Oreochromis niloticus: one gene and its partners. The protein of the gene in region 4 purifies or fractionates together with the protein of the main gene of each other region. This does not show direct contact. Links are inferred from orthologs where the notes say so. Each region holds a gene or a part of one and is shown on either strand. Other genes may lie near its edges. The genes, in order: serine/threonine-protein phosphatase 2A catalytic subunit beta isoform, slmapa, sike1 and strip1.

What was found.
Region 1: the proteins of strip1 (region 4) and serine/threonine-protein phosphatase 2A catalytic subunit beta isoform purify together in Homo sapiens (affinity purification with mass spectrometry; 6 studies listed by BioGRID and IntAct, counting the BioPlex papers as one, with this or other methods). This does not show direct contact. The link is inferred for Oreochromis niloticus from reciprocal best matches to the Homo sapiens genes STRIP1 and PPP2CB.
Region 2: the proteins of strip1 (region 4) and slmapa purify together in Homo sapiens (affinity purification with mass spectrometry; 4 studies listed by BioGRID and IntAct, with this or other methods). This does not show direct contact. The link is inferred for Oreochromis niloticus from reciprocal best matches to the Homo sapiens genes STRIP1 and SLMAP.
Region 3: the proteins of strip1 (region 4) and sike1 purify together in Homo sapiens (affinity purification with mass spectrometry; 3 studies listed by BioGRID and IntAct, with this or other methods). This does not show direct contact. The link is inferred for Oreochromis niloticus from reciprocal best matches to the Homo sapiens genes STRIP1 and SIKE1.

The regions. Positions count from the first base shown.
Region 1 is NC_031977.2:38,532,069-38,540,514, forward strand, and holds the start of serine/threonine-protein phosphatase 2A catalytic subunit beta isoform, read right to left. Parts: upstream 3,137-8,446; 5' UTR 2,805-3,136; coding exon 2,703-2,804; intron 516-2,702; coding exon 477-515; intron 1-476.
Region 2 is NC_031970.2:15,724,671-15,732,494, forward strand, and holds the start of slmapa (sarcolemma associated protein a), read right to left. Parts: upstream 3,101-7,824; 5' UTR 1,662-3,100; coding exon 1,464-1,661; intron 1-1,463. UniProt on the Homo sapiens protein: Associates with the striatin-interacting phosphatase and kinase (STRIPAK) core complex, forming the extended (SIKE1:SLMAP)STRIPAK complex.
Region 3 is NC_031984.2:27,970,994-27,979,351, forward strand, and holds the start of sike1 (suppressor of IKBKE 1), read right to left. Parts: upstream 3,221-8,358; 5' UTR 2,972-3,220; intron 2,900-2,971; exon of another isoform or gene 2,884-2,899; 5' UTR 2,881-2,883; coding exon 2,722-2,880; intron 2,542-2,721; coding exon 2,436-2,541; intron 2,364-2,435; coding exon 2,221-2,363; intron 2,094-2,220; coding exon 1,980-2,093; intron 479-1,979; coding exon 359-478; 3' UTR 1-358.
Region 4 is NC_031970.2:21,898,960-21,907,062, forward strand, and holds the start of strip1 (striatin-interacting protein 1 homolog), read left to right. Parts: upstream 1-4,711; 5' UTR 4,712-4,887; coding exon 4,888-4,998; intron 4,999-7,433; coding exon 7,434-7,503; intron 7,504-7,606; coding exon 7,607-7,681; intron 7,682-7,778; coding exon 7,779-7,913; intron 7,914-8,000; coding exon 8,001-8,103. Other genes in the region: S-adenosylhomocysteine hydrolase-like protein 1, read left to right, coding at 125-245, 405-411. UniProt on the Homo sapiens protein: Plays a role in the regulation of cell morphology and cytoskeletal organization. Required in the cortical actin filament dynamics and cell shape. Part of the striatin-interacting phosphatase and kinase (STRIPAK) complexes.

The DNA of each region.
Region 1 (8,446 bases), on a different chromosome or scaffold from region 4:
CTCACCTACACGTGCTGATACCTGGAAACTGTCCATCATTTCACAGCTTGTTTCTTCATGCTGCTTTTATGGGTTTTTTTTTTTTTGGGGGGGGGGTTAAGAGCAGCCTGGAGGTGTTTATGAGGAGAAAGGAGCCTGTCACAGTTTACAACTCCACTATCTAGAAGGCTCCCTGGGCTGGATATTGTCAATATTGTCAAAGGTAGAGTCCTAGTACCGTGGCTCTGTGAGCAGTGCAGCTCAGGTTAACACAGAACTATGGATGCATGTAAAATGTTAACCTGAGCTCCGCTCCACCCGAGTCACAGAGCCACATCTTCACTCTGAAACACATAAAGGACCGATGACCCATAAACAGCTGACTTGGATTAGAATCTAATCGTTTGATATCAGCTCTGGTTTTATCTTCTGCTTTTCTTTTTCCTCGTGACTTTCATTTTTCCATGAATAATCAATAATGACTTCGGAAAACTCACCTCCTGAACGTTGGACTCCTTGGTCAGGATCTCCTTGGCCTGTAGAGGAAACAGATTTAATGAGTGTCTTTGGGTTGTTGTTTTTTAAAGGAATCACAGCTCAGACAGTGGGGGGGATCATGTGACGAGCTGATAGGAGGTGAAATCAAACTAAGCTCCTACGTGCCCAGAGTCACACACACACGACTGTTTTTGGTTTGTTTGTTTGTTCCTTCTTAAGATTTCAGGCCCACGTGACTGTTTGGAAACCTCTCCTCACCCCCACAGCTCTTTTACATGAGTGAGAAAATAAAGTTGATCTTATTTTAGAGTTTTAACCATCAAACACTCAGCAGCTAAACTTCCCTCCTTCCCATCAGAATTCATAGGATACACAGGTTACAGCTGGGACTGCCTCATTTTTGACCAGCTAAACACGTCATACACATGTGACATTTAAGCTGTCATTTTTTTTTTAAAATTCTCTTACTGATAAAGTGAAGTATTATTAATTTATTTTACTGGAAACTGGAAACAGCTAACCGGGCAAAATGCTAAATATCTTTTTATGCTGTACCAACAGTGTCCTCCAACCAGAACCCTTCAGAACAGCAGGTTATAGTTCCCTCTATTCGAAATAACACCATCTTTGTTAGTCAAAATGTCAGAAATATCCAAACCTTATACAGCCCTTTGTTAAGCACAGTAAACTCATCAACACTGAGTCATCAGCTACACGTGGACTTGCTGTGTGAGGTTCATTTAGAGCAGGAAAAACTTGATGCAATGAATCATGCAACAGCTTAAATACCTGGAAATATAAAATCAATAACCTTTAAAAATTTACCCACCTAAGGAAAAAGTCCATAAACATGTTGCTGGTTTTTATTCAAATTTACTGCAAACAACAATGTGTAGGAAGAGGAAAATAAAGACTTATCAGTACTTTTTACATCACTTCAGCTCCACTCATAGCTGAAAGATGACAGCATCTATCTACAACAGGCCAAACTTCATTCATCTCATGAATTTTACTGTTATTAACTGTAATAAGAGCCCCCTTCAGTAACTGATTAGTTCATATGAAGTCAGCTGGCAGAACCTGGCTGGGCTCAAACCTCCTCACCCATCTGACCAATACCACCTGGATACTTTCATTTCCCCTCAGGTTACTGCAATAATCTCCTAATGGAGATCAATCAGATATGAGCCAGTCTGTGCCATGTTCATCATACCTCCATTATATTCTTCTGTCCTTCAAATTTCATGCCATGTTTATCCAGTTTTTACTTTGAGACTTTCATCTTTTTATTATACTGAAAATCTAAGAAGACTAAACGGGGACACCAGAACCTGTACTATGAGTCTCTTTATTTATTTATTTTTTTTAACATCTAAACCATCTCTGACTCTGCTGATTAGCTAGAAAGAAAGAAATGACTGATTAGTACAGACGGTTTCAGCCCTCATTTAGATGTTAAATGGCATCAACAATGGATTCATCTTCATGCAGAGAGCATAATAAATCAGGTTACAGACATTTTACGTTCTGCTGTCTCGGACGTGGATTTTCAGTTTGATGGGCATTTTCTCTGTGAACATCGCTGCTATAATAGAAATGTCTTCAGATCAGATCATTTAGTCAACGCACACTTCTAAAAGTATGCAACGAGGAATATTTCGGGTTTAATCGCTTCGACAGAGGACGAGAGCCGCCACACGGCTGCACAAACGGCTCATTTTTAATGGTGCAACCAACCTGCCATTTATGCAATCAAATGGTTGATCAATACATTAAGGGCGCGGTACTAATCGATCAATCGCGACACACATTAACAGATGATTAGCCTTAAGAGAGAAATAAGAATAAAGCCCCCTACAGTGAATGGCTGAATCAGGCTGAATCCCGGCCTGTGCGCAAAAAGCAGCGCAGGTAATAACCGGGCAGTAAAATGGGCTGCGTCTATTTCCTGGCACTGGGCAAGAGATGCGATTTTTCGGCCCGTGTGTAATGAGTCGACGATAGTCGGACAACAGTTCACAGTGGGGATTATTTAATAGAAATACACACATATATATCACACCTGAAAGGGAATTCTGACTCAGAATGCGGAGGACAATTGGGCGCAAACAGCCGCCTCGTCGCTCCTTTATTCCGGAAATTAACCGGAGCCACTTTCGCAACACAGGCCGCGCTGGACTGAGCCAGGCCTGCCGGGAAATCATGTCAAAAACTTTGGAACTTACCTTCTCACAGAGCGTCCGGACTTGGTTTTCCGATAGCTGCTTGCACTCGTTTAGCTGTTCGATCCATTGGTCTAACTCTTTAGTGAATGATTTGTCTTCCATGACAGCCGCGGTAGCTCGCTAAGCTAGCTGTGTTAGCTACCTGAAGAAACAAGCGGGCCTGTGTCTCTACGCTAGCTGCTAATTTAGCCTTTAGCTCTTCGTATTGTTAACCCACCGGACCGGTTGGAAAAAAATCACCGCAACAGTTTAAAACAACGACCTGTTTAATCAACTTCTATCATGATAAATGACCGATGTTAAGATACCAATGTTAAAAACACGGGTCTATCGGCCGGGGGAGTGAAAAGGATCAAAAGTCCCCGATGCGGCAGAGCGTAGCGGCAGAATACAGCGGCGTCGCAGCGGCTAGCCGATTTGCTAAAGGAGCTAGCCACAATAACATCCGGGGATTTAACCAGCGTGTGGACTCAGCACAGCAGTGACACCGTGTGGACAGACCTTGAATTACGGCGCGAATGCGCGCCACAACACTACTAGTACTAATACTAACACAGTACAAGTACAAAACTACTGCTGCTACACTACTACATTACTGCTGCTACAGCTTCATTACTGCTACTTTCACAGTACACCTACATTACTGCAATACTATAACTACGCTATTACTACACTATCACTACTGTTAATGAGGAGGTTCAAAGGAAAGTTGAAATTGTTAACCTCATGAAATCAACCGGTCAGAATGCAAAATAAAACAGCCATCAATCTGTTGCAGTATATCAGAGTTATATAGTGTAACTTAAAGGGAGACATAAGCTGTGTCCCAAAACGTAGGCTGCATCCTCCTGAGGCCACATTTGTAGGCCGATTACATCACAGCGGCGCAGCAAAGGCTGTCCCAATTCGTAGACTCTTCCGAAGCCGGTCGACAAATGCGTCCTCCTTTTCCCCAGATTTGAAGGATGGGTCGGGTGTGTCCTTCGTGGCCCACCATATCCCAGAATTCAGTTTCCAACAATGTCAGCCGCTACTAAGTAATAAGTACTCTTATTACTTTTATGTATTTAAAAAAGTAATAAGAGTAATATATGTATATGTAATACTTTTATGTCCACTGTGAGCGACCATCTTTGAATCCGCTCACACCCTGGGCCATCTGACCTCAGGAAATCACATGATAGGGTGGGGCTAGGTTTCACAATGAGCTCACCCGAAACCCTGGCTGATTGTGACCTACACCCATTTTCACACCTTGGCTCATGTGATTAGGTAGAGGATCATTAGGAGGTCCATTGTCCCTCTAGGGGGGGACACTCCCACAGGGTTTAAATCAAAAAACAAAAAACTAAATAAACTTTTAACATATATTCAGACAAGAATGTAGCTGTGTAAACTTCAAATATCTGCTCGGTTTATCAAGACATGACATATTTGCAAAAGTGCTCCGACGTTTTCGGAGACGTCTGTTACCCACCAGCTTGATAGCTGACTGGGGGTTCAAGGGTCACTCGAGCCGGCGAGAACACCAGACTCCTGGCACATCGTTAATCGTTCAACATTCAACACACGACACGGAGATGCAGCTGGTCAGAACGCTCTCTATGGTGCTCCTGTAGAACACGGTGAGGATGGGAGGAGGGAGGTTGGCCCGCTTCAGGCGTCTCAGGAAGTGGAGGTGCTGCTGGGCCTTTTGGTGACGGAGGTGATGGATGTGACGGAGGTGATGTTGAATTTAGGAATAAAGGTTTAAACTCAGGAGACCAAATCAAACTCACCTCAGCTGCTGCCCCATGTGGGAGTGTGTAAGTGACTGCAGTCCTTATATAATGTGTGCCAGGTGAGTGCAATTAAGGGCAAACTCTAGAGCCAATCGAAGGTGAGAAAGGGAAACAAGGTAAGTCAGGTAAGGTTAAGGCGAGTGAGGAAGAAAAACAAGAATCTTTGCAACAACTACTACTAGTAAACTACTACACTACAACTGCACTACTGACACTGCTACACTATTGCTAGTATTACTACAGTCACACTTCTCAAATCGTGGAGTGTAAATGTTTAACTGCAGACACCACTTTGACCTCTGACTTGTTTTTCCCGCTGAGACCTAAAAGCAGCGTCAGAGCTGTGCCTGCAGTCTGAAACAGATCCAGGATCACTTTTCCTGATCCGGTTTATCTGATCCTAACATCAGCAGTCACGTGAAGCTGGTTATGAGCTTGATAAGTCGACACAGGTTTATGAACCTGGTTGCAAGGGCGTTTACACGAAAGGGGCGGGGCTAGGAGCATCTTATTTTAAAATGTTTGGGTTTGGGGGCCGCTGCTTTTCATATTGTATATTAATGAGATATGTGCTATTTCAAAGTCTTTGAAAATAATATTATTTGCGGATGATACAAACTTACTGTGCTGTGGAAGTAACTTGGAACAACTTCTGAATGAGCTAGAAAATGAATTAAATAATCTGAAGACCTGGTTTGACCATCATAAATTAACATTGAACCTGAGCAAAACAAAATTCATAATATTTGGGAATCGCACATATTCTACTAATAGTAAACTGACAATAAATAACACTGAATTAGAGTATCTGAAATAAAATTCCTTGGTGTGATAATACATCACAAACTATCCTGGATTCCCCACATTACTCATATCAAAGGCAAAATATCGACGTCTCTGGCAATTCTCTACAAGGTCAAGGATCTCATAAATCAAACATCATTATATATTCGAGCACATGCATTCTGTAGACAGATATATACATGAAAACTTGATGATTTTTAAGTCTATCTATCTATCTATCTATCTATCTATCTATCTATCTATCTATCTATCTATCTATCTATCTAATTATTTGCAGCCACCAAAAATAAAAATAATAATAATCATGGAATAAATGAGGGATTTATTCAAAGAAACCTTTGCAAAGGGATCCACGCAGCACCTGCCATTGCACTGATACCCACTGTGGAATAACACACTCACTGTGTGGATGCTGGCTTTGTTCTGCTTCAGGGAGAATTCTTCCCACCTGCCTGAAACGCGCAGGTGCCTGATCCTGTACAGTCCAATGTAAATACATGTTGTTTATGAGGTCTTTGTTGTAAAGAAAAAAAAATGTAGTTCATCAGCCAAAAAAGCTAAAATCATAAAACTTTGATCCTTCCCAGCAGACGATGAGCGTTCATTTGTTCTGAGAGTTGTAGGTAATAAATCTGTAACTGAAACGCACATTTGAATATGTTTGTTCCTGATTTACTCTCAGTCACTGTGACGAATGTGACCGATGATCTATTCCTGAGTCTCTGACAGTTAACCTCTGACATCAGCTGCTCTGTGTGCACTGTTACTATAACAGTAATAAACAAAGATAGAGGATGCCGCCCGGTCGGGGAATCGAACCGTCACTACGGATGTAATATATTTTTGGCCACTGTGGTCTTCTCGCACCGTTTCGAGTTTGAGTCACAGCGTTTTTTAAAAACTTTCCACTTCCAGAGAAGAAATCGGACCTCAGAGCTTCGTGTTTGTTAACCACAGGTAAGAAACGTCGTCTGAAATAACAGTAAACCTGCAGGATAAATATCCAGCTGTATTTTGAAGGTCTATCGGATTCATGACCGCTAGCTTCCATCTATACTGATGCCCGAGACCTTTGGGACAATCCTCTGTGGACTGATGAGAGTAAAGGTGAATCTTTTGGAAGGTGGGTGTAGTGGAGGTATCAGGATAGACACAGCTGTGACACTGATTCACTCTTCAGCACTACAGTCGCTCCGGTGTGTCGGCCAGAAACACACTTAAGGCCAAATTGTCCAGAATATGGAAGGAGGAGCTTAAAGTTTGGTTTGAGGCAGTTTATTCTTTCACAGCGCGGTTCTTGTAGCTGTAATCACATATGGTTTTTTTAGGAAGTACACAATCAGTGTTGGGCGAGGTACTTGGAGTTATTTTCATAACTCAACTTCTGGGTAAAAGCTGTAGGTTGGTAAGTTGGTTTATGGTGAGCAAATATTGGTTCAATAGTCATGACTCTGGTAATGTGCTGAGTTCTTTAATTCACTCCACAGCTTGACTTGTCAGGCTCTGCGAGGCAGACCGTGGGGAAGTGGGGAATGAGGACCCAAATGCTGGACTCTTTATGCTGAACAGTGCGTTTATTTACAGTGCAGCAAAATGACAATAATTCCCCGTGTGCTCCCCTGACTCCCGTGTTGTTTCTTCTTCTCAAAAGTCCGTGCTCTTCACTCCCGTGTGTCGGCACACCCCGTGCTTGCTGCCCTCCGGTGTTCCACGCTCTTCCTGAGGGGAAATAACAGAGGCAGCTGTCAAGACACTTAATTCCAGTAGGCATACCCTCACAGACTTTAACTAAGCTAGAAGACTGACGTGGAGTCTCACGCAGCAATCCAGCGTAGAGGAGCGCTCAGCCACACTGCTCTGTAGCTCCCCCGACGATCCTGATCAGTTGCAGGTGTGTGATCCTCTCCCTCAGGTGTGGCCAGCCTCCAGGCTGAACACACCGACTTACACATACCCACAAACAGACGAGGGACAGCAGCACCAAAAATACACGTCCATAACATATTCAATAACCCTGGGTTGCTCGGACCCAGGTCCGTGACATGACTAATTCTGTTGGGTCATAGGTCGAGCAGCTTTGATCAAAATTAGGTCAAAATTTTACCCAACTGTTTGGGTTGAAGATAAGCCTCAGAAGAAGCCACATCAGTCTTCACAAAATGCCATTTTCAGCTAGACTGTGACCTGATCAGATCACTGGACTTCTCCACTACTATGAAATAAAACATGGAAAGTAAAAGGTGAATTCTAACAATTTGAAAATCATAGAGTTATTTTTGATAATGCAATTTATTGGTTTAATCTAGAGCTTTACCTGCTCATTAAAGGTCTTTTAACAGATAACACCAGCTAGCTTGTGATGAAGAAAATTATTCCTACTTAACAATGCTTGATGTCATCTTTTGCAGTTATAATTTGAAATGAGGCTGAGGTTGCTCTGTTTGACTAACTATTTAGAGATCACTGTATACAGAACAAAGGAAGTATGAGACTGGGTGTTGCATTTGTGGGACAAAGGTAAAAAAAGAAAAAGGAACACAGTCGATCTAAACTATTTAATTTAATTCAATTATTTAATTTAACCTAAATGACCTCTGTGTTGATAACAGCATCTTTTTATTTTAAAATTTAAAGGCAATGATAATTCGTCCAATTTAGATTGTTTAAAAAAAAGATAGATTGTGCTAATACTTTGACCCCCTTTTTTCCCTCGTTTACTAGACTGCACAAAGGGCACGCGCATCCCTGCGCTTAGCTCGCTTGCTACTAAAGAAAACGTGATGGCAACAGCAACAAACGTGAGTATTGATACTGCCACCACCAATATTTAGCCACCATCTTCAATCCTCACTCTGATACCACAGTAGCTTTAAGGTCCTCCTCTCCAAAGTTTACGTGTGTGTGTGTATATATATATATATATATATATTAGGGGTGCAACGATACTCGTATCGATATTGAACCGTTCGATACAGTGCTTTCGGTTCGGTATGCATGTGTATCGAACAATACAAAATTTTTAATTTATTTTATCAGCTTTTCTTCTGACGATGCTGTCTGTGTTGAGAGCTCAGTGGATCTGTGTTCGACTACTCCGCCTAGGCTGCACTGTCCAGCTAAGCTCGTTGCAACATGGCAATTTGAACCTCCCCCACCCTC
Region 2 (7,824 bases), about 6.2 Mb from region 4:
TATTTTCATTCAATTATTTGTAACTCTTTCCAGTGACGGAGCACTTTATTTTCAGTTTTCCAATGAGAGAAGATCTTGTAATGTACTGCAGTTTGCGGGAAAATTCTTAAGTTTAATAATTTATTTTATTATGAAAGTAAAACTTTGCATTGAAGCAGAGTGGGTATATGCTATCAGTTAAAATTGAAGAAAATTGCAACTGGTGCATCTGTAGATCCTGATCCTTTCCAATTATGTAATTTTAGATAGCAGATTAAGTCAACTACTTAAATAAATTTAAAAACATGTGTAAGCGTGTGAAGATTTTCTCCAAAATCTTTCAGGTGCATCAGTCCACAGAACAAAGAGTTATCAATTAAGTGGTTTTAAAGCCATATTTAATTTGCTAGGCAAGCTGGGCAATATCAGGAAAATGCACACATTTGTTAAGTAAGCCTCCCTACCTCAACTACACACTCAGTAATCCTGCTTAGTGCCCCACTCCCTTAAAAGTTTATTATGAGCCAGAAAAAGCCCTGACTACAGTCACAGCATCAGCTGTTCTTATGGAGGTTCCTAACAGAAATGACAAGGAAGCAATAAGAAGTGCTGGTTGAACTCTCTAAACTGTGGGGGGAAATACATTTTCTCGAGGGCTCACGTGAGAAAAAGAAGAGAAAACTGAGCAGAACTGAGTTCAGCTTATTGGTGTGGCCCTCCACAAGTGTCACAGTTTCTCACGTGGCCACCTTGGGAAAAATCAATTGCCCACCCCTGCTCTAAACACTTAAAAAAAAAAAAAAGTGCTTCACTACTTTCTTTATTACTAAAGAGACAATGCTTCCCCACAGTTCATAGTGACACAAACAAATCCATCAGCATAACTGACAAGAGTGACACAGATTATGCCAGTGTTAACGTTGTTAACATTGCTTCTTCATTTCATCCCACAACCTGCTGATACATTTCAAACTTTGAACAGCAGCCTGTTAAATCCACAGCAGAGCAATCATTATTAGTATTAATAATGATAGCTGTATTAAAATCTGCTCCCTTGTGCCATGAAGGTAAACATTATTTATAAATCTTCAAGTCACAATTATAAGGCATATTAAATTAATCCAAGTTGATGTAAGGGTTACCATGATTCAGTTTGGAATAAGTTGGATCTCCTGCTATATTTTAAGCTCTTAGGTAATAACCTTATTTACACAGTAAAAGAAAGGTTGTGAGCTAATTGGGATCATCCATGGAAAATATAAGTAAACAAGATGAGCAGCTAACATTGCAAAATTCCTCTTTATAGGCCTTTTATTCCTGTCTATTTAAAGATGCAAACCAATGAGGTGATATTTCTCACTGGTGGTTCTCTTTATATGGCCAACCCACAAGAAGACATGAAGTAAAGTATCCATCTACTGTAGGCCCACATAAACACCAAAGTAAAGCAATAGGAGGTCATTTTCAGTGCTGTTGCCGCTTACCTTGCCAGTCTTGTGGTCAAACCACACCAGAGCGTGATTCCTGGACAGCACCTTGCAGTCGAAGGTGGCGTTGTTCTGGGCTGGCCGGCACCGAGCCACCGACCTGCCGATCTTGACGGGCTCATCCAGGTACACATGCCGCTCCTGGAATGGGTGCGAGTTGGGTCGGCAGGCGAATATTGCCAGCGCTGAAGGCATTGATTTTGGCTTGAGAGTATTACTCCAACCAGAGACGAGGGGCAAGTTTTCTTGATCCAGAGTGGCAGGTTTTTCTGGTGCAGTCCCTCCTCCCAAAAAAATAGTAATAATCTACAATATCTGCGGCCTATCTGTAGGCTAAAACGTTAGTCCTCTAATCTTCTAGGCACTAACTAGTAAACATGGTCCTCTCTCATGTGTGAGAAATAAAAAACAAACCAACAGGTATAAAAAAAAAGACAGGACATTCCCCTCACTGACTGCCCACCGAAGCTACATAACGACGCTTATATGTGACAGCAGGCACTATGTACAGACCAAGCTGCCATGTGTCAAGACATACATGAGTGAGTATAGCACTGACAGCCCCTCACGTCCATCAAACTCCTTCTGTGCTGACTAAACTGTCTGTTTAACGCCTATCAAGAGCAGTAGGTCCAATTATTGCGCGCTTCTGAGCTGTGTTGTCTTCTCTTGCAGCAAGCTAACAGCAGGCACACACCCCAGCGTTCATCACCCTATACACACAAACACACACGCGTCTGTCGTTTACTAAAGTGTCATCTATAAGTGTAGTTGACATGTATGGCTCGTCATAATCTGAGTGACCTTGTTGCCCTGATGCAGGGAACCTTAGCTACCTTCCTATCTCCCTACCTTCACCACTCCCTCTACCAGAGAACACCTAGCGAGCCTGAACGCCAAAACACCCCTGAGTTATAAAACTAAAGCAGCTCAGTGCCCACTCTTCGTCTGAATTAGTCAGCGGAGACGTTTCAAAACCATCCACCGGGATGAACAGGGGGGGATTATCTGGTCGTCTTGTGCAACTGAAATGCTAATTGGCTAACTCGCTGGTGGACAGGCGAAGCGCTAACTCTCTTCTGGCGTTGTACCAGAAAGCTAGGCTAAGCTAGGCTAGGCTAATGAGTACTGACAAAGTTATCGTCCAGGTCCACAAATTTTTTCTCCCCATCTTTTTCAACCAGTCCGCTTACCAAATGGATACGATATACCATCCCTGTCACCTGGAGTAAATAAAAGCAACACGCTAGCGCTTCTTTTTGCTAACACAGAGCTCTGCAGGCGAGCGTTAGCATTGAAGGGAGCTACCTAGCAGCTAGCCGGCTAACTGACAGTCAGAGCAGAAACCGACGCGGAAAAATCAGGGGAGTTTCTTGACTGCGGGTCCTCACGCATCACACACCAGTCCGATTATTTTCTGGGGAAAGCCCCAGTAAGAAACACAAGTTATGCCGCTGTCGTCTGTTGCAGTGTACCTCGTGGTTGCCGCTATAAGTTTTATATTAATGCCGTCGCCTTCCAACAGTTTTGTGGAAGGAATCTAGAAGAAGTTGTCCTCCTCCGCAAGTCCCAGCCGCCATACTGTAACTAGAGAGCAGACAGCGGTGGTGCGTTCACTGAACGATAGACAGCCGGAGGGATGCATTCACTGACCAGGTGACATGAGCACCACCCACTGCTGAGCTCACTAAGTCAGACTCGGAAAAAGTAATGAGCTTAATAGATAAATACATAGATACATACAGAATTATGAATTATTAAAAAAAATAATAACCACGTGATTAACACTGACGATAAAATTATAAGCACTTTTTTAAATGTAAAAAAAAAGTACATACGGGTAAGGTGTTACAAAGTTGGTATTAAAGCACATCAACATATTTCACGTACAAACACTTCTTCAAATAATGATGATAAAGAAAATTACTTTATACAAAAATCCTATAATCTGATTACATCATCTTTACAAGAGTTCACATGAAAATCCAAACGTATTGCGCAAAGATTGGAGGACTAGAAACCACCCAGACAGTGAAAATACCTCAGACTAACACACAAATACAAATGTAGCTAACTCCCTCAGAGCTCAAAGGGACGTGTGAGGAAATTATTTCATAAGAAATTCTACTATAGACCCAAATCTATTTCTACTTAGTTTATATACAGGAGAACACAAATATATAAGCTAACATAAAAGCTAGAAGCATTGTTTTGGTGAAAAAAACCCTCATAAACCAAACCTTAAACACAAGATAAAACAAATGATGTCAAATCTTCCATGAAACGGTATCCTGAAAGGCAAAAGGGCTGAATTTTGTTTAGAATATGGATCTTTGAGAAAAGCTGCTTTTTGTAAACCACACAATTTCTCTGTTTTGTTGTTTTGTTTTGTTTTATTATTGTTTGCTGTGGTTTCCCTGTTTTACTGGAGTGGATTTTTTTATTTCAAGAACATGGACTGCTTTGTGTTAAATATGGAAACTGGATTATTGTTCAGTCTCTTTTTCAGAACTTTTCTTCTTGTTTTTTGTTGTTTTTCATTGTCCGTTACACAGGCCTGAATATATTAATTCCTTAAGAAATATGGAAGTCCTAATAAATGGTATAACCTAGAAAGGAAAAACAGAACAGATTTTTATCTACTTTGCTTAAAAAAAATCATCTGGTTTCTTTTCAAGTACCTTTTTGATTCTCATCACCTGCAGTTTATTAATCAGAGCAGTATTTTTCAGTTTGCATCAGATGGGCGTTATCCTAGCAATGCAGTTTAGGGGTAGGACAGCAGGTTGGGGGTGGTTTTACAGGAGATCAAATTCTGCTTCTGGCCCCAGAAATGTCCCTGTGGTGCTCTGGTGAACAGACAGCTGAGACTAAATCGATGGTGGATGAGACTGTAAAGCAGATAAAAACAAAGCAAAGCTTTGCTGTTTCTTCTTAGATTCAGCCATAATTTATAGGGCATGTGACTAAAGTATTCATAATTACTCTCCATAAGTGTTTGGAATTTTCCACATCAATTTTTTTTGTTGGTTATAAGGAAGTATAAAAAATATAATTGTTGCTTCTAGCAGCTGAACTGTGACCAGGCTTCAGTCTACACACTTTACTGAGAAAAGAAGAGCTAAAAATTTAATTGAACAGTTTGAACACTAACTTTTAAGACTGGGAATGTTGTTGTTTCATCAGTTTTGGGGGGAAAAAACACTTTTCTTGAAAGAGACAGACAGGTTTGGTGCTGTTCTCATTCATATTAAGTTAGTCAAGAGGTCACAGGCATTTTTTTAATATTCCTTTAAAATGAAGGAACTTATTTGCAGTATTTAAACTTTTTCTCAGAGTTTATTGAGTTGTTGCTTTCCTAACTAACCTCAAGCCATTGTTGCTAGTCCTTGTTTTCAATCAGCCTCAATAATACAGCAGAGCTGTAACGAAACATGCAGAAACCTTCCAGCATGATCAGAAACATATCTGAACCATTTAAAGGGCCACATGCACATTAAAGCAAATGACTTCCTCAAAACAAGAAACCCGAAAAGCAGCCTGGTGTCAGACAGAGTTATCAACTCCTTACACTCTGACCCTAATTTTTCAAAAGTGAGAAATATTCAGTGCATTCCACATTCACCTACTTCCAAAGTGTATGGAGAAGAGCAAGGGCCTAAAGAGGTTGAAGATGTAAAGCATTTCAGCCTCTTTTCCTCTAAATGTCCAAGACTGAGTAGGTTTGATGAGATCAGAATATTTAAATTCTTGCATGGCTGTTTAGTTTGGCCTCGTTCATATTACTAAACTGTAAGAAGATGCACGGGGAATCAATCTTCACAACAAATCCCAGCAAGAAAAACATATGTTGAGCTATGTAAGCCAGTAAATTAGTTCATCACAAGAAAAGGGCATGTTTCTGGGAATAAGACCTTGTACTGTTGCTTGAGATCTCAGTAGGTCTAAGAGGGCAGAGGATTGAAACAGGATTCACTTTGGGATCAGACTGATCATTAGGCTGTTCCAAATATACCAGAGTGAAGGACGAGATAAGGACTGAGTGACTGACAGACTCCTGCGATGTAAACATCAGACCTTATAGGACAGTGATATTAAAGTCATTTTAAACTGTGGGTAGATCATTCCCCAGACTGTGCTGTAAAACAGAAAGGTTCTGTTCTTTACGGAAAGAACATAATTTCTATAGCTGATAGTAAAAAAAACAGGACATTTTCTGTTATTTAATTTTGTCTGTTACTTAATTACAGATAGTATAATAAAGTCCAGATCCCAAATTGGATTTGGATTATAATTAAGTAACAAAGACTATACATATACTATAAACTAACAGAGATTGCACAAATACAGCAAATACTTTGGTGCAATATGAATGGCCATGGGAGAGGTTTATCAGCAAGACAAAAAGTTAAATTTATTAAAATACAGCGCAGTCCAAAATGTATGCCTTACTTCACATTTTCCAAAGCCATCCAGTGGGCCAGATCAGGGACTGTAGCGGCCCAATTCTGGCTCCTCTGCCTTGTATTTGATACCCTTGTTATAGGTTTTCATTTTAAAGTTTTGGAGTTTCCCGGTAAAGTGTTCCTGGTGCAGGTTTTGGTTGTGGGATAGACCCCATCGTGGTCCCTGCTGCATTGCCCAGCCCTCCTGCACAGAGAGCAGGGCACCAGCTGTCACTGTGCTAACAGTCTGACTATTATATGAGATTTAACAGCATCTTACTGTGTTTAGCTTCTTAGCCCAGTTTGACATCACTATGTCCATTTAACAGAGGCTGTTTGTGGGATACAAAGCCTTAGAAGCTGAACTCCATTACATCTTAGTTTAATTACAACACTCTTTAGTGATCTGATAAATGTTGGGGTTTGTGTGCTCCCAGATCTCTTTCATTGCATTTCATTATCTATCGATGGAAAGTGTTTTGGATATTGAATGTATTATCACTAATGTCAGGTTATCAATGTGAATATTTTACATTTGAAACTGTATACAAAAACATAAGAATGTATAAAAACATAAGAAACTATTACATTCATTATAACTTACATGCTTGTACCATGTGATATTTGAACATCCCCAAAAAGGTCTCACTTGGACTTTGGATTTTTTAATTGATTTATTTTCTGTTTAGTTGATAACTTAGCTCTTTAGTATGCACAGTTTTTTTGTTTTGTTTCGTTTTGTTTTTTTCATGGGATAACATATACTTTATTTATGAAAAAAAAACCCCGAAATCATAATAAAATACGAAAAAAGAATAATTGTGTTAAAAAGCTAAACATATGACAATAAAGTATGTAAAAAAGCAATGTACATTTACATTTATTTAGTGACAGATCAAATACGGTTTTCTGTGGCTCAAGATATAAAATGCAGGAATATTTAAAACCAAACACAATATATAAGTCATTTAGTATGAATTGGTTTAAATTTGCATTACTTTACACAGTCAGAAATAGGGGTACGGAAGGGGTACATTACTGTGCCCCAAGGTACAAAAATGACATTAATACAGTCTAAGGACAAATATTGGACCTCGGGGTAACTGTCTGTACCTTTTTTAGCGTCTGAAAGGTACATACATGTTCCTTAATTGTGAAAAGTACTTATTTGTACCCATTCTTTCAAAAGATAAAGTACAGGTTGATTAAGCTCTTTTTGATTAGAGGTTTTTTTTTTTTAATTCTTTTTGACAGTAATTTATTTGCAACTGTATTGATTTAAGCATATATTTTAGTGTTTTTATTTTATTTTTTATTATTTTCATTGCTGTTGTTGTTTTTGTATTCCCTGAACCCCCCTTATTTTTAAGCTGCTTTAAGAACAATGAATTTATTTGAAAGAAAAAAAGTAAAAATGCATTTAAACATTTTTTTTAAGAGTGATTTTTTTTTAAAGTATAACTATTTGGATGAATTGCAAAAAAGCACCCTTATTGAACTCTGAGTGCGAGTTGAGCCCATCCTCACAACATCAAACAAAAAGTAGAAGAAGAAACTCAACGAATAGCTGGTGGATTCTAGAACTTTCTGTAAATGCAGCAGGTGCCATTTTTGTTTTATCAACGGACGGAGATGGATTAGAACTTGCAAGTCCTGGTGTGCTCTGTTCACTTTCAACCGAGGAACTCTTAACAAAAATACAAGAGTGGGGCTTAGATGTCACCGAAGCTGAAGCTCAGCGTTTCAGAGGTAAGTTTTATTTAAAGAAAAATGTAGCATAATTACTAATTATTGGTTTAGCCTAGCTTAACGTATATTAGCAATTTAGCTAGTTTCGGCACTCTCTTAGCTCAAATTATGTCTTTTTACAAACGTTTCATGTGTAAAGTTGAGGTCACAGTTCTGAAAAATGA
Region 3 (8,358 bases), on a different chromosome or scaffold from region 4:
AAGTTGGCTTGTTAATAGATTTCAAGTGAACTCAAAGGTTGGGCTGGTTTTGGGTGCTTTACTCACTGTAAAAGTTTGTGTGTGTGAACAGCAAAGGGGCACCAAAGAGGTAGAAACTGTATCCTTGGAGAATAAAAGTGTCTTTGGCTAAAAACTAAAGAAATCCCCTTTGCTTTTACTGCCTTTGCTGCAGTACATGTGTATTGTGAGTGATAACCTCATGCTGGACTGCATTTCGTTACATGTAAAAAAATAAAATTAAAATAACAATATCTATAATGTGGTGGTGAACACAGGTGAAGACACAATCAGCCCCCTCTCCTGGTTCTGTGGAACTTTATCCCAGCTGTACTTCAGGTCACTCGGTGGACCCCGGCAGAGGAGACTCTTCTCCTTCTTCTGCTGCTAGTGACTGGCTAGTTGTCTTCACAGAGCTCTTGCTGATTTCCAGGAGATCACGCAGCTCCTTGTTCTCAATCTGAAGGTAGAAAAAAAATGTTCAAACATAACTTTTATAGTTAAATATCTCTTCCTTATAACATGCATGTGCTTCCCCGTGCATACAGGTTTTGAATGAAAATTGTGATGGATGCATCACATCTTCTCTTTTAAATAGTGTTTCTGTTTATTTGTGATAGAATTTTTTGCACTTTGGCAATGTTGGGTGAAGCAGATAACCAAAGCAAATACAGACACGTGAAAAAGAAAGTACACCCTCTTTTATTTCTCAGGTTTTATCAATAAGACTTAATAAGAAAAAAAAAAATCATCAGTTCCGTAGCAGGTACAAAAATTATTTAAATACAGCCCCAGATGAACAATAAAACATGTCATTATTTATTTAATAAAAAGAAGCATCGTGTAAAAACCCGTGTACAACTTTATTCATCCATCATTATGGAGGAAGTCTGATCAAATGTTGCTTCAGCACATTGAGGATCACGATTATTCGTTACGATCCCACCTGAGTGTTCCAGCTGAGTTGAGGTTTGGCCCTTGACTGAAATATTACAAAGCTGTGATTTCCTTTTTCAGCCATTGTGCTGCAGATTTGCTGCTGTGTTTGGGATCATTGTCCTGCTTCATGAGTCAGTTTCAACCAAGCTTTAGCCGTCAGACAGACTTCCCTCACATTTGACTCTAGGATACTTTGGTACGCAGAGGGATTTTTGGATGATTCAAAGAGTTCACGGTACTCAGGTGCAAAACAAGCCCTAAATTATCACAGCTCCACCAGTGTGTTTGACAGTTTTCACTGAATGAGCTGCTGTGTATTACAGCCAAACATTTCCACACTGGTCTGGTCTGTCCAAAGGACAAACTTTATGCCTTGCAGTTATGCAAAACTAACAATGCTGCCTTGTTCTTTTTAAAGGGAAGAGGCTTTCCCCCCCTTTCATTTAACTTGCTAACGTAGCCCTGTAGAGTCTGAGCTGTAGCTCCTGGATTTTTAGCCATTTCCATGAGCATTACACAGTCTGTGGCTGAATTTGCTAGAACAGCCACTCCTGGGAAGATAGCTATTGTTCTGAATGCTTTTATTCATTTATATTCTTAAATACACGTTTGTTACTGTTTGGGAAAATGTACCTTTTCAACAAACTTTACAGTTGTAGCATATTTAGAGAGCTCACAAAAGGTTATCACAAAGATGCTACAGTAAGAAATATAACCGACTGGTTTAAAAGGCCCTTTTATAACCCTTGTACAACCTATTTGACTGTAATAAAAAAACAAACCTAATAAAACCCCAAACAAAACAACATGCTCCTTGACCTGATGCACTAAACCTAACCATCCCACTAAAAACTTGATGCTAGCTGACAACTCAGCTCTCATTTGCAGTTATGATCATCTATTATCGTTCCGTCATTTTGACACAGAAGCTGATGTCTGAGGTCTGTGGTAAAATCACATATTTTTCCACAGACCTCATGAGGAAAGGTGTCATTGTGTCCATGTATAACTGCATTTCTCACCTCTAGCTGAGCAAGCCTCTCTCGAACACAGCAATAGTGCTTATCATCCACCTGCACTGCTCTTCTCATCACCTGGCCCATCTCGCATATCCGCTCCACTTGGCTCTGCACTTCCTGGAAAAGAGTCAGAAATCAAGTTTGTTGTTTTTATTTTTTTATTTTTTAATTTGTGTGTCTATGTATTTGGAATCATAGCCCATTAAACGTGTGAGCAAATTAAAGAAATGCAGAGTTGATGTACTTTGGCATGGTCCTCATGGAGGCTGAGCACAGGTTTGGTGTCCAGCTCCTTCTTTGCCATCATCAACTGGAGCACATGCTTGCGATACCGACACATGATCAACTCCAATGCGTACTGGTGTTCTTCAAGAGACAGCCATAGTTCTACAAAGGCATAAAGAGTGTTAATACTAGTATATAAAACCAGCCAGTCAGTCAGCAGAACCTTTTTTTTACCTTTATTCTCCCGCTGCAGTTCCTTGATTTGAGTGTTTTCCTGAGTCAGAAGGACATGAGGTTTGTATTTCGTGAGCTCCTGTATCTCTGAACTGTCATCTGTGTGCTGAGAAAAGAGCAGAGAAGAAACAGATAAAGAAGACTTTAGCGAACGCATATCACGAAAGCATATTCTAGATACGAGGGAAACTCGCTTTGTAGTACAGGTCACTGTTTAACTAGTTCAATGTGTATACCAAGCAGTAGTGCAGCTTTTCATAAGCGTGAGCTATCTGCTCGAGTTTACCTTGTCTGGCAGAGCATTTCCCACCTCTCTCATGCCCTGCACTCTCTGATTTAGGGCCTCGGACTGCTCTATCAGTCCCTCGGCGGCTGTGTCGTGCTCTTTTAGCCTCTCGAGAAGGGTCCGAGTATCGGCCAGCACTTTTTCTAAAGTGCAGGCCATTTACTGGAAAGTGACAGCTCTTTTTTATGTTAGGTAAAAAAAGCTACTACAAAACTAGCTAGAGCGAAAACAACTCACAGCCGTTGCTTACCTGGGCTATATAACCTTAGCCGAGGCAGCTCGGTGCCATTATAGAAACATAAATATCCTTACTGTTTCGCTACTTAACGTTAATGTTGTGTCGGCAGACAGTGCAAGTACCAGACACCCAGATCAAAATATTACTACATTACTAGAATATTACTGCTTCAGAAACTGACGTTTCCGTGTAAAACTAAAGTGTTAGCGACACTTCCTTCTTCTTCTTCTTCTTCTTCGTCGTCGTCGTCTTCTTCTTCTTCTTCTCCTCCTACTTTTGGCGAATTGTCAAACTAACGTTGAGTCGCCACCTACTGGGGTAGAGTGCGGTGTAGAAGTTTGGCACACAACCAAAAGCGGGGTTAATGGCTAAACCTATCAAGCCTATTGGTCTTTAAAATATCTTTACATAACGCAACAGCGTCTCATTAAAAAAAAGGAAAAGAAAAAAGGATATTGTTTCTTCACTGTTCAACAGTTGTATGTTAAACAAATGAACAACAACAACAACATAATTTTAAAAGTTATCAGCATTTCAAGTAAAAATGTAACGTAAAACACTTACAGTGCTGAAAAAATATTAGTATCGGGTAATTTCAAAGTGAGTGAAGGGCTGAGTTGAGCTGAAGCATTATGTTACATTTTCCTATGTTGGGTTTTTGTGCAACGTGTAGTCTCAGAAACCCTCCCGTATGGGGAGAAAACTTAGTTATGGCGACACCTATTAAGTTTAGTTATCTACTAAATGGCATGATAGTTATTATTTACTCATTAATCAAATAATTAATGGATTTATTATTTATTGAACTCGACTAGATTACTCGTACATATCTTTTTTCCAGTCTAGACAGCGAGGTAGATAAAATGTTAACGTTACTATAACGCAAATGCCTCCCATGTCCCTTTGCGGCACATAGGCGGTTTCTTATCAGCGCCTCTCGTAGCCACTCTTCGCTTTAGGATCTTTGGTCTACCTAGTATCGTCAAATATCGCGGTAGCCGCCTCCCTATCTCTACGCAATGTGCCGTGCTGCTTCTAGCGGCGCTGGTGACAGTGCTGAAAGCTGTTGGGGTGAGTTTTTAATATTTTATCCCTTTTAGCAGAACAATTTAAGCGTGTACTGGTAATATATCAATAATAGTTTTCTTTTTTGTTCAGTGAGTACTTAGAGGTGAATTGGTGAGTCAGCGCTTAGTCGTACGCACAGTTCGGGCCTGGGTGGGGGCTGCCTTGTTACAGCTCCACATAAATCACACAAGGGCCGAGGAGTACAACGGCATGCTAGCTAACCGTAGTCGCTACTAGCTACTTAGCATTGCCAATGGCCTAGTTATACTGTCGAAGGTATAAATAAACAGGCGCGTGATGTTTTTTCTAAGACGTATTAGAGTCTGGTAAAGAAAAAGCACGTGTGTAAAATGGATATGGTATACTTTAGATACAAAGATGGCATTTAAATAGAATTAAGCACGAGGCTTGTATCTAGCTTCTTTGTTGTTCCGTCCTCGTGCCGTTAACGCTGATAATGTTATTATTGCGTTATCGACGTAAAAAAAATGAATAAACTGAGTGTTTATATTTAACGTTGTTCTTGACTGGCAAGAAATTTAAAATGTACATAATTATAAGTACTTTTTAAAGAACTGTCCTGGTCGGCAGTCACTTTTGGCATTGTCTGTTCTTAACTCTATTGTCCGTTTAGCCTAAATAGCCCGTGTTGCAGGTTGGCGTGTGATACGATCCAGTTCTAAAAAACGTCTCCCTTATAATATGATTGCTAGTTTAAAAAAAAATCTCTTTATAATCAGTCCCATTTAAATTAATACATAGAAATTCTATATATTTTGACTGATGTCCGAAACCACATTAAACATTAATGTGAAAGAGAAGTCGAAATGCTATCTCTATGTACAGTGTACAACGTTGAACCGTTGCTTAATTACCATTAGCAAACTTTCTGTTCAAGGACTCCAAGCTGCACAGGATTTAAGTCATCCGGTAATTACAAAAGAACTGAATGCGTTTTAGTTAAGTTAATGATGAAGAATTTCTTTAAGTGTTGCTAAAGACAGCGGAGTAGTAGCTGTTTACGACGATTAGCATCGGCGAAATGTTAATCTGTCAGGTTTTGTTTGTCCACACAAGGTCAATAAGACATCCTTAAATGTGATTGTGCGGGTTACTTTGCTTAATGAGCAAAAAAGAACTAAAGTAACGAGGTTTTAACGAACTATAGTTTATTGTATGTTTTGACATCGACTGGTTAGACGTGCCGTTCGCGATGGCGTCGCATACCGCAACGTGTTGGATCAGGCCATGTTGGCTGTTCCAGCTGAGGATAGCGGATTGCTGAGAAGTCACATGGTGGTTCCTGTCGGGGCGGTTGTTTTGTTTGCCCAGAGAAAAGACTGTCGTTTAATAAATGTCCAATCATAAGAGGTATCTTTCCCTCTCATGTTTATTAAATAACAAATAGCTCAAACTGTAGTTTGGTCCCAATTTTACAACAAATAAACAAACAAACAAACAAAAAAAAACCATGGCTAAAACGGCCAATCGCTGCTAGTTGTGTCGTGAGTGGATTTTTTTTTTTCTCATTTCCTGCGAAATAAAAAGCAGAAAAAATCCGGCGAAAGTGGATTCCACAGAAGCTGTCTTCGGTTCCTGGCTCATAACCTTTAATACATTTACGTAGTCAACCTTGTAGCAATCACATTTGAGCCTTTTAACAACTTCATATTCTAACCTAGTGGGATGTAAGAAGGGAGACATTGCGACATAGTCACAGCAGAATAGATATCATGTGTCCTTGGTTGGCTCAGCTATCTTGTTTTCAGAGCAGGGTATTTAGGTCAACAACATCCTGCTCTGGTGTGCTGTATGTTACTTGGAGTTTCTGGAAAAAAAATGTTTGGGGGGGGAGAGGTCATACACACGTTACAATGCTTTGTTTGATTGCCAGATTAGCCCCTCTAAAAATGTGTAAGGTTGTGTGCATGCAGAACAACTGGGGGGCTGAATGATGAAACAGAGGGCCTTAGTCTGAAATGTTGCCATAAATAACATAGCCTGAACTGAAGGTATGCACAAGGACTTGTTGATCCACAGTACTTGTCAGCTGCCTAGCATTGTATCTAGAGGCATTTGAGGAAAGCTTATTTTTGTACTTGAGTGTGACTAAAGAATCAAATGTTCCCAAAAAACCTCAGGCTGCCAGTGCTTGGGGTTTTTACTTGTTTTCGTGTGATAGAATAGTCATATTAGCTGACAGTCTAATTTTTCTCCCTCACTCCAGACTCATGGAGCCCTTGGGCCATTTTGTATTTAACCTAAATTTAGATCAGTGGAGTTGGTGATAAGTTTTCATCTAACCAGATCTTCTTTTTTTTCTTCATCCCCCTTCAAACAGTATGAAGTGAAACCGAACTGAATTTTTGTACCATCCGCAACTGCTTCAAGTTCAGATCAAATCAAAGAAACTGAAGACAAACCTCCCAAAACAAAGTCAACACTGAAGAAGCGTTGGTGAAAAAGGATCACTTCAAGGATTTAAACGCAAGAAGTAACCAAATCCTGAAACGACCAAAGAATACGCACATCATCCCAACTGCGAAGTGGAAGAGAAGCAAACTTGCGCCCAAGCATATTCTGAGAAGACCATAGTTGATCTGAAACCAGAAGTTTGTGCCTACTCAACAGCTTTGACAAAGCACACGTCCCAACGCTGCTCCTAGCCCTCCTCATCCTCACTACACCGCCGACTCACCACCGGGGTGTGGAGTGGGCTGCTATCTGCTAGTTGTTGTTGTTGGTTTTTTGTTTTGTTTTTGTTTTTTTCCTTTTCCCCACTCCCATAGCTCCCTTCCCCAACTTACCCCCTCTTTTTTTCCCCTCCTTTTTCCTGAGCAGTGTTTTTTGCACCTGCCTTTGCCTTTTGTTTTATTTTTGCTCTAGATTTCTATCTCCACCCCCCCTTTTTTATTTTTTACTTTATGCAACGATCTAGAACTTGTGCCAGAAACTGTAACAAGTGTGCGTGTTCAACTGTGTGCGTGAAGAGGTCCACAAAAACTGCTAGTTCATCAAAATCCTGAGAGATAAAGACACAAGGCGACCAATAAAGGTAGGTCTCGAGTCAGTTGAAGCCCTTCATAGTGTGTTTATGATGGCTGTAAATGTACTTCTGGTTTTGCCACACGTTTTGCTCATCATTACCTCTCTGCATTATCAGTACCCTCTTTTGGATTTTAATATTTTTATAAAACTGGTATCTGATTCAGAATCTGCATTTGATAGATGCACTACATGATTCACACATGCTTTAAAAACAGATTGTATAACACTTACTGCCCCAAAACAGTGCAGTGGTATGCCGAGGATGATGTTTTATTTATATTTCTTTTCTTTCTTTTTTTCCCCTCAGTCACTAAACACAAATGCGTTCTGTTTTTCAAAGTTGGACTTATTATTTATTTTTATTGGACCTCATTTAAATTTCTCTACTTGTAGGCCAATATTTTAAGCTGTTGTTTGCAGCAGCCAGTTCCAAGCTACTGCAGTGCTTGGTTAGACTTGAATCTTGCATACTTATTGCTTTCTCCATGTGACATCACATCCTTTTGGTGGAGTGAGTGCAGGAAGTGATACTTGGTGTAAAATTTTGATTTGAAATGTAAATTTTGATTTGATCTTAGTGACCTCTACATTGTCCTTTTGTTAAAGATAACTATTCTGAAAACGTGAAAGAAGCCAGCACCACTGCACACTGAGCCACCACCACCTCCAAATACTTGAACTAGTCATTCAGTTTTGTTTGAAAATGATTTACTTGCCTTCCCTTACCTGATCCACACTCTTCCTATTCTGTCGTTCTCAGGCCATACCCCCCCTACTTTTTTTTTTTTTTTTTTTTTTTTCCCCTTTCCCCCCTTTTGTATCCTCTCTTGGGATTAAAGCCTGCAGCTATTTTCCTTTTTGTTTGTGACACTTGGCACACTGGCTGACCTGCCTTACCTATTATGTTTGTTCCTCTCTTCACCCTTGCAGACATCCAGCGGTGTATCATTGGGTGGTTGCATAAGAATAGTATTTAACACTAAGCAAAAACAAAAACGTATATCAAAGTTCAGCAAGTGCTCAAGCAAGTTTTGTTCAAGTTTATGGGAAAATATGGGCAGCCCCTGGAAAGGCTTTGTTGAGTTTACCTTGCCTGCGTCGCCACCCACCGCGTTTGTTAGCGCTGACCTGAGCAGCACCTCCCCTGTCGGACTCAGCCTGTCGCCATATGGCCGATCCGTAAGTTTCACCTTCCCACCTTTCTACGTGCCCCACCCCATCGAGCACCCATCCACCCACCTTGCCCCGCATCTTTGCTGTGAATGGCATAACTTCTTTCATCT
Region 4 (8,103 bases):
ACGTTGGAAGCCGACAGGCATTATTTATGGACGGCTGCAAGAATGGAGTGCATGAACTGACAGATACACATCTTCTGTGTGTGCGCCCATTTCTTTCTTATTAAAGGATGTCTTTGTTTTTCAGATGAATATGTTGCGAGTCTGCATCTGGCCACGTTTGATGCCCACCTGACAGAGCTTAGTGACGAGCAGGCAAAATACCTGGGTCTGAATAAGAATGGCCCTTTTAAACCCAATTACTACAGGTACACTTTTGCACATATTAAAATTTTGAAATGGGGAAATATTTTGAAACTTTTATTAACTTATTGTTATTGCACTAGGTTGTTTGCCAACACATAAACATTTTTTAAGAATTGTGTTTCATTCACATTATCTGTTTTTGTTGTTGTTGTTGTTCACAGGTATTAGTCTGTCACCTGAGAACAACAGCATGTGGACGGTTCCTGATTAGTACCCGACTTCCAGGCAAAATAATGATTTGTGTATTGTATTTTTTACCCTTCATGGGATGCATAGCTCATTTACTTGTATTTTAGTGACTGTAGAAAGTTTTGCTGCTTTACCAATGGCACCCAAGCTGGCTATGAAAAGTGAGGTGTAAGCACTCTGCTTATGTGAGATAACACATGCAAAAAAAGGAAAATATATGATTTTTTTTTTTTATTGCATGTGTTTCCATTCTGAAAGCTGTTGAGTATATCAGCATATTGTGCCAAATGACTGTGAGAGGAGGGTTGTGGTTGTTCAGAAATATTAGTTGTTAAACATGTTAAACCCACACGGAGCACTATTTTTGTATAATCATTCCCTCCATGTACTGCAAAACAGTCACTTAAAATGCCAAACCCAGGAATCTCAGGAGCTTACTGTGCTTTTTATGCACTTTTAGCTCCTTGTTTTGGCATTCTCATCAATATTGTGCTTAAAACTGTTTGCAGTCTTTTCCTTAAAAAACAGATAAGCCAACAATTGCAAAAAAAATGTGACATGATTTAAACTCCTGGTTGTTTTTGTTTTTTTTCTATCTCAGGAGTAGGTGGACCAAATCGGAGTTGAAAGGCCAGTCAATATGAGACTTATTGTTACTTTTAAACTAGCCAGTGATTTGGCATTAATCAGATGTCAAATCAGTTTTTCCTGTGTATCTGCTGAGTAGGCAATCGTTTGCTTACAGATGAGCCATAATAACCTGATGAGCTGACTGTAAATCAAAGTTTTGTTCCTCTGAGTATTTTTACTGTCCAGCGGTCAGAAATTGCTCTGTGCTGCTTTAAACGTTTCTTCCTGCTTTGATATTAAAGCACTTAATCACCTTATACATTCCATACACAAGATACACTCCTGTTGTAGTATCCTCACAATTAGTGCTAACCTTCACTGGGCCTAACAGAAACATAAGCGCTTGTTGAGCAGAGTAAATGTAAGAGCTTGTCATATTTTTTTCTTGAAAAAGAACTTGTCCATTTATGAGGTTTTGGTGTTTGGTGAGAGTTATATCTGTACCTCAGGGCATTCAAATATCTCTAATTATTTGTAAATATATGTCAACGCATCTGCACTATCTAATCTTAGTATTCATGCGTAATCAGTTGGTTTTGAATTGAATATTTACAGCATGTCTGTAAATTGGAGGGATATAATCATGTCTGTGATCCATGTCATTTGTCAGGTTTAGCTGTTCAGAGTAAATTGAATTTGGCGGTTATGTTACATACAGCACATTTATACTGTACATACAGCAGCCTCTGATGAGCTGCTCTCGTAATGCCGTGTCTTGTTAGATTTGTCTCAGGACTCTGTTAAAGAATGCTAACAACAGAAAAGTAACTGTCGTTTCCTAAATGCTCTGGGACTAGACACGGATGAGCTTTGTTGTATTAGCTTTACCTCCTGTTATCTTGTGGTATTATAGTTATTCTAATCCAACACAGTATGTGTGTTTCCAGAAGATTATGATCATTTTAAAGGCTTACGCACTGTGAGGCGTAAATGTTTGTGAGGCTTGTTAAATGCAAATTCACATTTACTCTGTTATATTCACATGTGATATTTTTTTAAACAGTGGGCACTTTGGATGACTGAGTTGAGCGACTCATTTTATGTCTAAACTAGGTATTACACAGATAGTTGTATCTTGTTGAACTTGCAGCTCTTCAACACATTTCATTGTGCTGTACGAGAGGATGGTCGCTAGTCATTAATTCTTTACAGTTGACAGCACTGCTGTTCCTCTCAAGTGTTTGACACCTTGTTACCATTTTAAAGTAACGCTCCACATGACTGAGGATCCTGTTTCATCACCGCACTAAGCATAAACCTGAATTTATAGAAACTGCGTATTTCATTTGTGCAGTAATTTTCAATTTTAAATGAGCAGGCTGCCCCCCCCCACCTCCCAGTTACTCCTGTTGTTTATTGAATAGTAGCCTACAGTGTGCTACTGCAAAGTGCTTTTCATCTTTGCACTAACAGCTTTAAGGGCATTACAGCCAAGGAGGACATCATTTTCAGTAAAAGGAGTGCTGCAACCATGGTTACTGATCAGTTGACAGTGCCTTGTAACTCACTTAGTAATTTATATTCACATGGACCATCTGTGCGTTTTCCTTTTTATCCATGTTGATGCCCGTCACAGTTATTACCCTGCAATATACAGTTATAGCTATGCAGCAAAGAATCCTCAGCCTTTCTTCTGGAAAAGTCAGTGTTTCACAAATTCCATAAAAAGTTATGCTAATAATTACTGTAAACAGTTTGAATAAGCAGCATTTTACATTCTGATATTTACCTTTTACATTTATTGTGATGGGTTTTTTAATCTCTATGTTCTTGTAATAATGGTACATTTACTTTCATAATGGCACTCGGAAAATGCTTCGCTTTATAACTAATAGTGACAGTCACTTTAACCTAGTTGTTCCTCTGTTATAGAGACAAATGAATGTTATATTACTGGCACAAACAGCTTGACTTTTGTTAAATTGAAGTTAATCAGCATACCACTGTGATTTGGAAGCTGTACATTGTTACATTTGAATACAAGGTTGTCTACATTATATAGTACCTATAATGTTTGCTTATTTTTCAACTTTGTTTCTAGTTTGTTTCATAATGTCAACTGAATACAGCTTGTTAAATTTCTCTTCACTTTCTCCTTTAATAAACTCCAGTTTAAATTTGAAAATGGCTCAGAAACATCATTTTCCTGCAGACAGACAATAAGCTTTACACAATTTGATTGAGTTTAATGTATATAGCACCAAATCACAACAACAGTTGTCTCAAGGCACTTTATATTGTAAGGTAATGACCCTACAAAGAAAACAGAAAACACCAAAAATCATATGACCGCCTAGGAGCAAGCGCTTTGGTAACAGTGGGAAGGAAAACTGTCTTTTAATAGGAAGAAACCTCCAGTAGAACCAGGCTTGGGGGGGGGGAAGGGGAAGGGGAACCATCTGCTGCAACTGTTTGGGGATGAGGGGAGGAAGACGAGACAAAAACATGCTGTGGAGAGCCAGAAATGAATACTAACTAATAATTAAATGCAGAGAGGCATATAAACAGATAGTGAGTGTTTATTCGCTCACTAAGGCCACAGGCAAAAATATGTGGGTAACAGTGACAGTGAGCCAAATGGAACAATAATTTTCTTTATTCTGATTGAAATGAACACACAATTTTATTTAGGCATATGTCCCTAACTGGGGTGACTGTATGCCAGGTGGAAGAGCAGGTCATTTCTAATTGCAAGGTTGGTCCAGTCTGCATACCAAACATCCCTGAGCAAGATACTAAGTCCAAGTTGCTTCTGATGCATCCATCAAAGTATAAATGTGTGTGCATGTTGGACAGGAAGCACTTACCTAGAAAGAGCATAGGGGGGAAAAAGTGCTTGTATGAATGGGTGAACTAGTTGTGTAAAGTGCTCAGAGTAGAGAAGCGCTGAATAAGAACTAGTCCATTTACCATTTAAAAATAATGTAATTATGATGGTTACAGTTGTGATTAGAAATTTACATCTACTCATCATGGGCATGAATGATGCGGCAATTTGGGGCTTTTAATGATATCCTGTGAACAAGATTGTAGAGCATACATCTTTAATGACTTTACAAAAACAAAAACTGGTTGCACAAGCTTTTATTTATTTGGGATTTTCTCTAATGCACACAGGGTCAAAATATTATCGTCCCTTAGTAAATTGCACTTCGACCAGATGCTTTCGGTAGACATAAACAAGCTTTTGACATAATTCTGGCCGAATATTAGGCCACTCTTGGCAGAAATGTAGACTTCATTTAAATTGGTTGGTTTCCTGGCTCTTAAGTCAACAAGAGCCAGGAAACAGGACTTAGCTCGGGGCTTTGGGAAGTCCCTTCCAGTAGCTAAAAAACCCCTCCCAAATAAATAATTTAAAACAAAAAAATTACCATCACATGCATGCACCATGATAAGTGAATGCAAACCTCTGACCACACCTTCATCCATAATTTAAAAAAAAAAAATGCTATTTATATATTTTCTTTAATTAAAAATGTTTTGGAGAATTTTAATCATCTTTAGATATTTATCCATCACGTAGAAGAGAAGTTTCTGAGTAGTCCCGCATTAATTCTACAGTACGACAGATCCTGTGAACTTTCTTCATCCAGAATGATACCTGCAGCAGGCTCTGCTCCGACTTCTGATCTCATCATCATGGCGTCAGTTCGGGATTACATGAAGAGGCAGAGAGAAATTCATTTCACACAAATTCTCCACAACCACACCTCGGGTCGCTGCTGCGGACCTTCGGACAAGATGCTGCGGATGCGCTGACGGGAGTTCGACTGTCGCGTTCCATTTCGCATCTCGCGAGAGTTCACTGGGCCCCAAAAAATTATGGACGTCGGTGGAAACGGTAGTGGGCTGCCTGTAAACAATAAGCAGAGAGCTATGTTACCTAACAAAACCAGGGGCGAATTTACCCGCAATCAAAGAAAAGATTCAGAGGTACGTATCCAGATGCTTATGGTTGATTTCCAGCGTGTATTTTTTTAGCTAAAGAGACGAGGCCTTTCCTGCTGCTAGTGTAAAGTTAGCTAGCTCTGTCATTGTAGCCCAGTTAGTGTTTCTAACATGATTCGGGAGTTAAGAGCAGCAAACGACCTTCATTACGGTGTTTGTACGTGTACTTAGCTGTACGGTGTTCCGTTTGTTTTCCAGTGTTAACACATTGAAAAGCGAGCAGGAGACAGCTAGCTGACGTTAGCCGGCTACAGGCCAGGCTTGTGTATGTGTCAGGAATCTAAGGACCTGTTGAAAACTGATTGTTTAGGTCCTGCTTAACACATTTAATCTTTCTAATGCGACAGTCGGCTATGACAGTGTAATTTTACTGTATATATGCAAATTGGTCACTCATCTGTGTGACGTTTAAAGAAAACAAGCTGAGTGTTTCCGTGTAGTGGTTTAAATAGCCACTGGAGACAGTCATGGCAGCACTGCTTCCCTGTCTGTCTTGAAGAGGTGTATTATTTCCAGTCTTTTCTTGAAAGTAGGCTCACAGTGGCAATAGTAAATCCTCTTGTGTTTAGTTAGAATAGAATAGAATAATCCTTTAATTGTCCCACAAGGGGAAATTTGGTTGTATCAGCAGCAAAAAAACACACATATACAAAAAGAACAGGACACAGAACAGAAAACAAAAAACAAAAAACACAATTTTTACATATTTACATCATGGACAATAGTTACCAGAGCAGAGTACAGTACAGTTGTTAAAATTAGCGTACAGATAGTGTGCAAACAGAGCAGGATACTGAAAGATGTTTAAATAGTTAAGAATATTTAGAATAATTAGAAAAGTGCAGATTGTGTATTGTACCTGTGCATTAAAAAGTAGACATGTAACTTCCAATAAGTTAGTGTATATATAAGCTGAGAAAAGTAATGTGCAGTTATAACAGTAGAAGTTGTTACAGCACTGATGTAAACATCTATGTTTGTTGGGAGCAGTTTTGATTGTACAGTCTGACAGCTGCAGGGAGGAAGGACCTGCGGAAACGCTCCTTCATGCATCTAGGATGCAGCAGTCTGTCACTGAAGGAGCTCTGCAGTAATGCTTCATGATGGCAGCCTCAGTGTGTTACTGTTGCTTTCAGTGTTGCAGCTGGTACACATAATATTGTTTATTGATTCATAAACTTTATATTACAAATCAGAAACTACATTAACTTGTCTGAAATGTAAATTATAGAATAAAAGATTATAGAGTTGTCAGTAATAGATACTCAAGTACAAGTTTATTACTACTACTATTGGTACAGCTTTATAATAAACAGTGCCCAAAGCGGTTTATGTAACCAAAATATAGTGAGGCGTTAAAGTAACTGACATCAGCTGTGCACGGTGTTTATGGAGAACTGAAAATATAATTGACTGAGTGTTCCAGAACTAAGTAACCCAACAAACCAACAGTGTCATGAAGAAACTTTCCAAAGAGAGTAAGCAGACTGAAAGTGGAGGTTTTATAACCTTCACCACTCCCACCACTCAGGTGCACTCAGTCTTAAACAGGACACAGTGCTATTACAGCAGTGTTTGATTGCATCTTATTTGTTACTTTGTGCTCCTGAACTACTTTAACAGTATTGCTTGTTGTTGCCAACCGGATGTTTTTATACCTTATACTGTGCTTTATAGGCATGTATAAGGTGGAGAACATGCCTGATTAAAAAAAAAGATGTTAAAAGATGTAAGCTTTGTTAGAGAGTAGCTGCCAGCACAGAGGAGTGTTTCACCTGTAGCTAAATACTAAAATGTGGGGAAATGCAGCTAAATGCATTGACTCAAGTACTCTACAAAGGAAGATCATAGTGATTATGATGCATTGCTGTAGATAAAACAACCCAACAAAAATGTATTAGCTCAACCAGCGTTATCAGCAGTAAAAAGCCTCAAAAGACATTAATGCGGGAGAAATATTAATCCAACAGTAAAATACTAACGGGGGACATTTTTACTACACACTTGAAGTACAAGTTACTGACTTACATGTGTTAACATAAGTGGGCTTTTAATCCAGAAGGTTTCCTAGTCAAATTTATTTTTTGATATTGTAAATTATCAAAATGCTACTTCCACCACTTTCTCTTAGCAAGAGTCACTTGGACATTTTGGTGCTTTGACTCTTGATGATGTTGCTGTTGTTATGGAGAATTTTGGAAAGGAAATTAAATAGTACTAACTAAATACCACCACTTATTAAATGAGAAAATAGGTTTTTATGTGTTTGTGTGTAGAGTTTGGGTAATGTGACTTCTTAACATCAGTCGGATGTGATTAAATTTGCCTTGGATTTATTCATTAATTCATTTAATTAAATTTTTTTTTTTTTTTTGTATCCAGTACCTCTCTGTCTAACCTCTGCAGTGTGTTGTGCACAGGGGCAGTCTGAGTCTCCAGATCTGGAGTTTGAATATTCGGACACAGATAAGTGGGCTGCAGAGCTGTCAGGTATGTGTGTGTGTGGGTCTGTGTGTGTGTGTCACACTTTAAGAACCTGTAACCACCTAAAAATGTGTGTATATTATTTATGAACTCTTCATGTGTGTTGCAGAGCTTTACAGTTATACTGAAGGACCAGAGTTCGCTCTTAATAGGAAGTGCTTTGAAGAGGAATTCAGAGTTCATGGTAAGCACTTAGAATATACATACACGTCAGCCATACAAATAAAAGATGAAGCAAGTATGCATCTTAGTTTATTTTCTTCACCTCTGCTGTGGCTTAGTGTCTGATAAGAAGTGGACAGAGCTCGATGAAGCTCAGCACAGAGCTCACGCTATGCGCCTGTTGGACAGTCTTGAAGTCACTGCCCGGGAGAAAAGGCTGAAGGTTGCCAGAGCCATTCTCTACATGGCTCAGGGTCAGTCCATCACACGTTTCCACGATTTCAAGTAAACTAGAAAATAGTTTGTCTTCATGTACTGTCTTCTTTTTTTTCTGTTTTTAGGGACCTTTGCTGAGTGCAGCTCTGAGGTGGAGGTGCAGCACTGGATGAGATACAATATATTTCTGCTGCTCGATGTGGGGACCTTCTCTGCTCTGGTGGAACT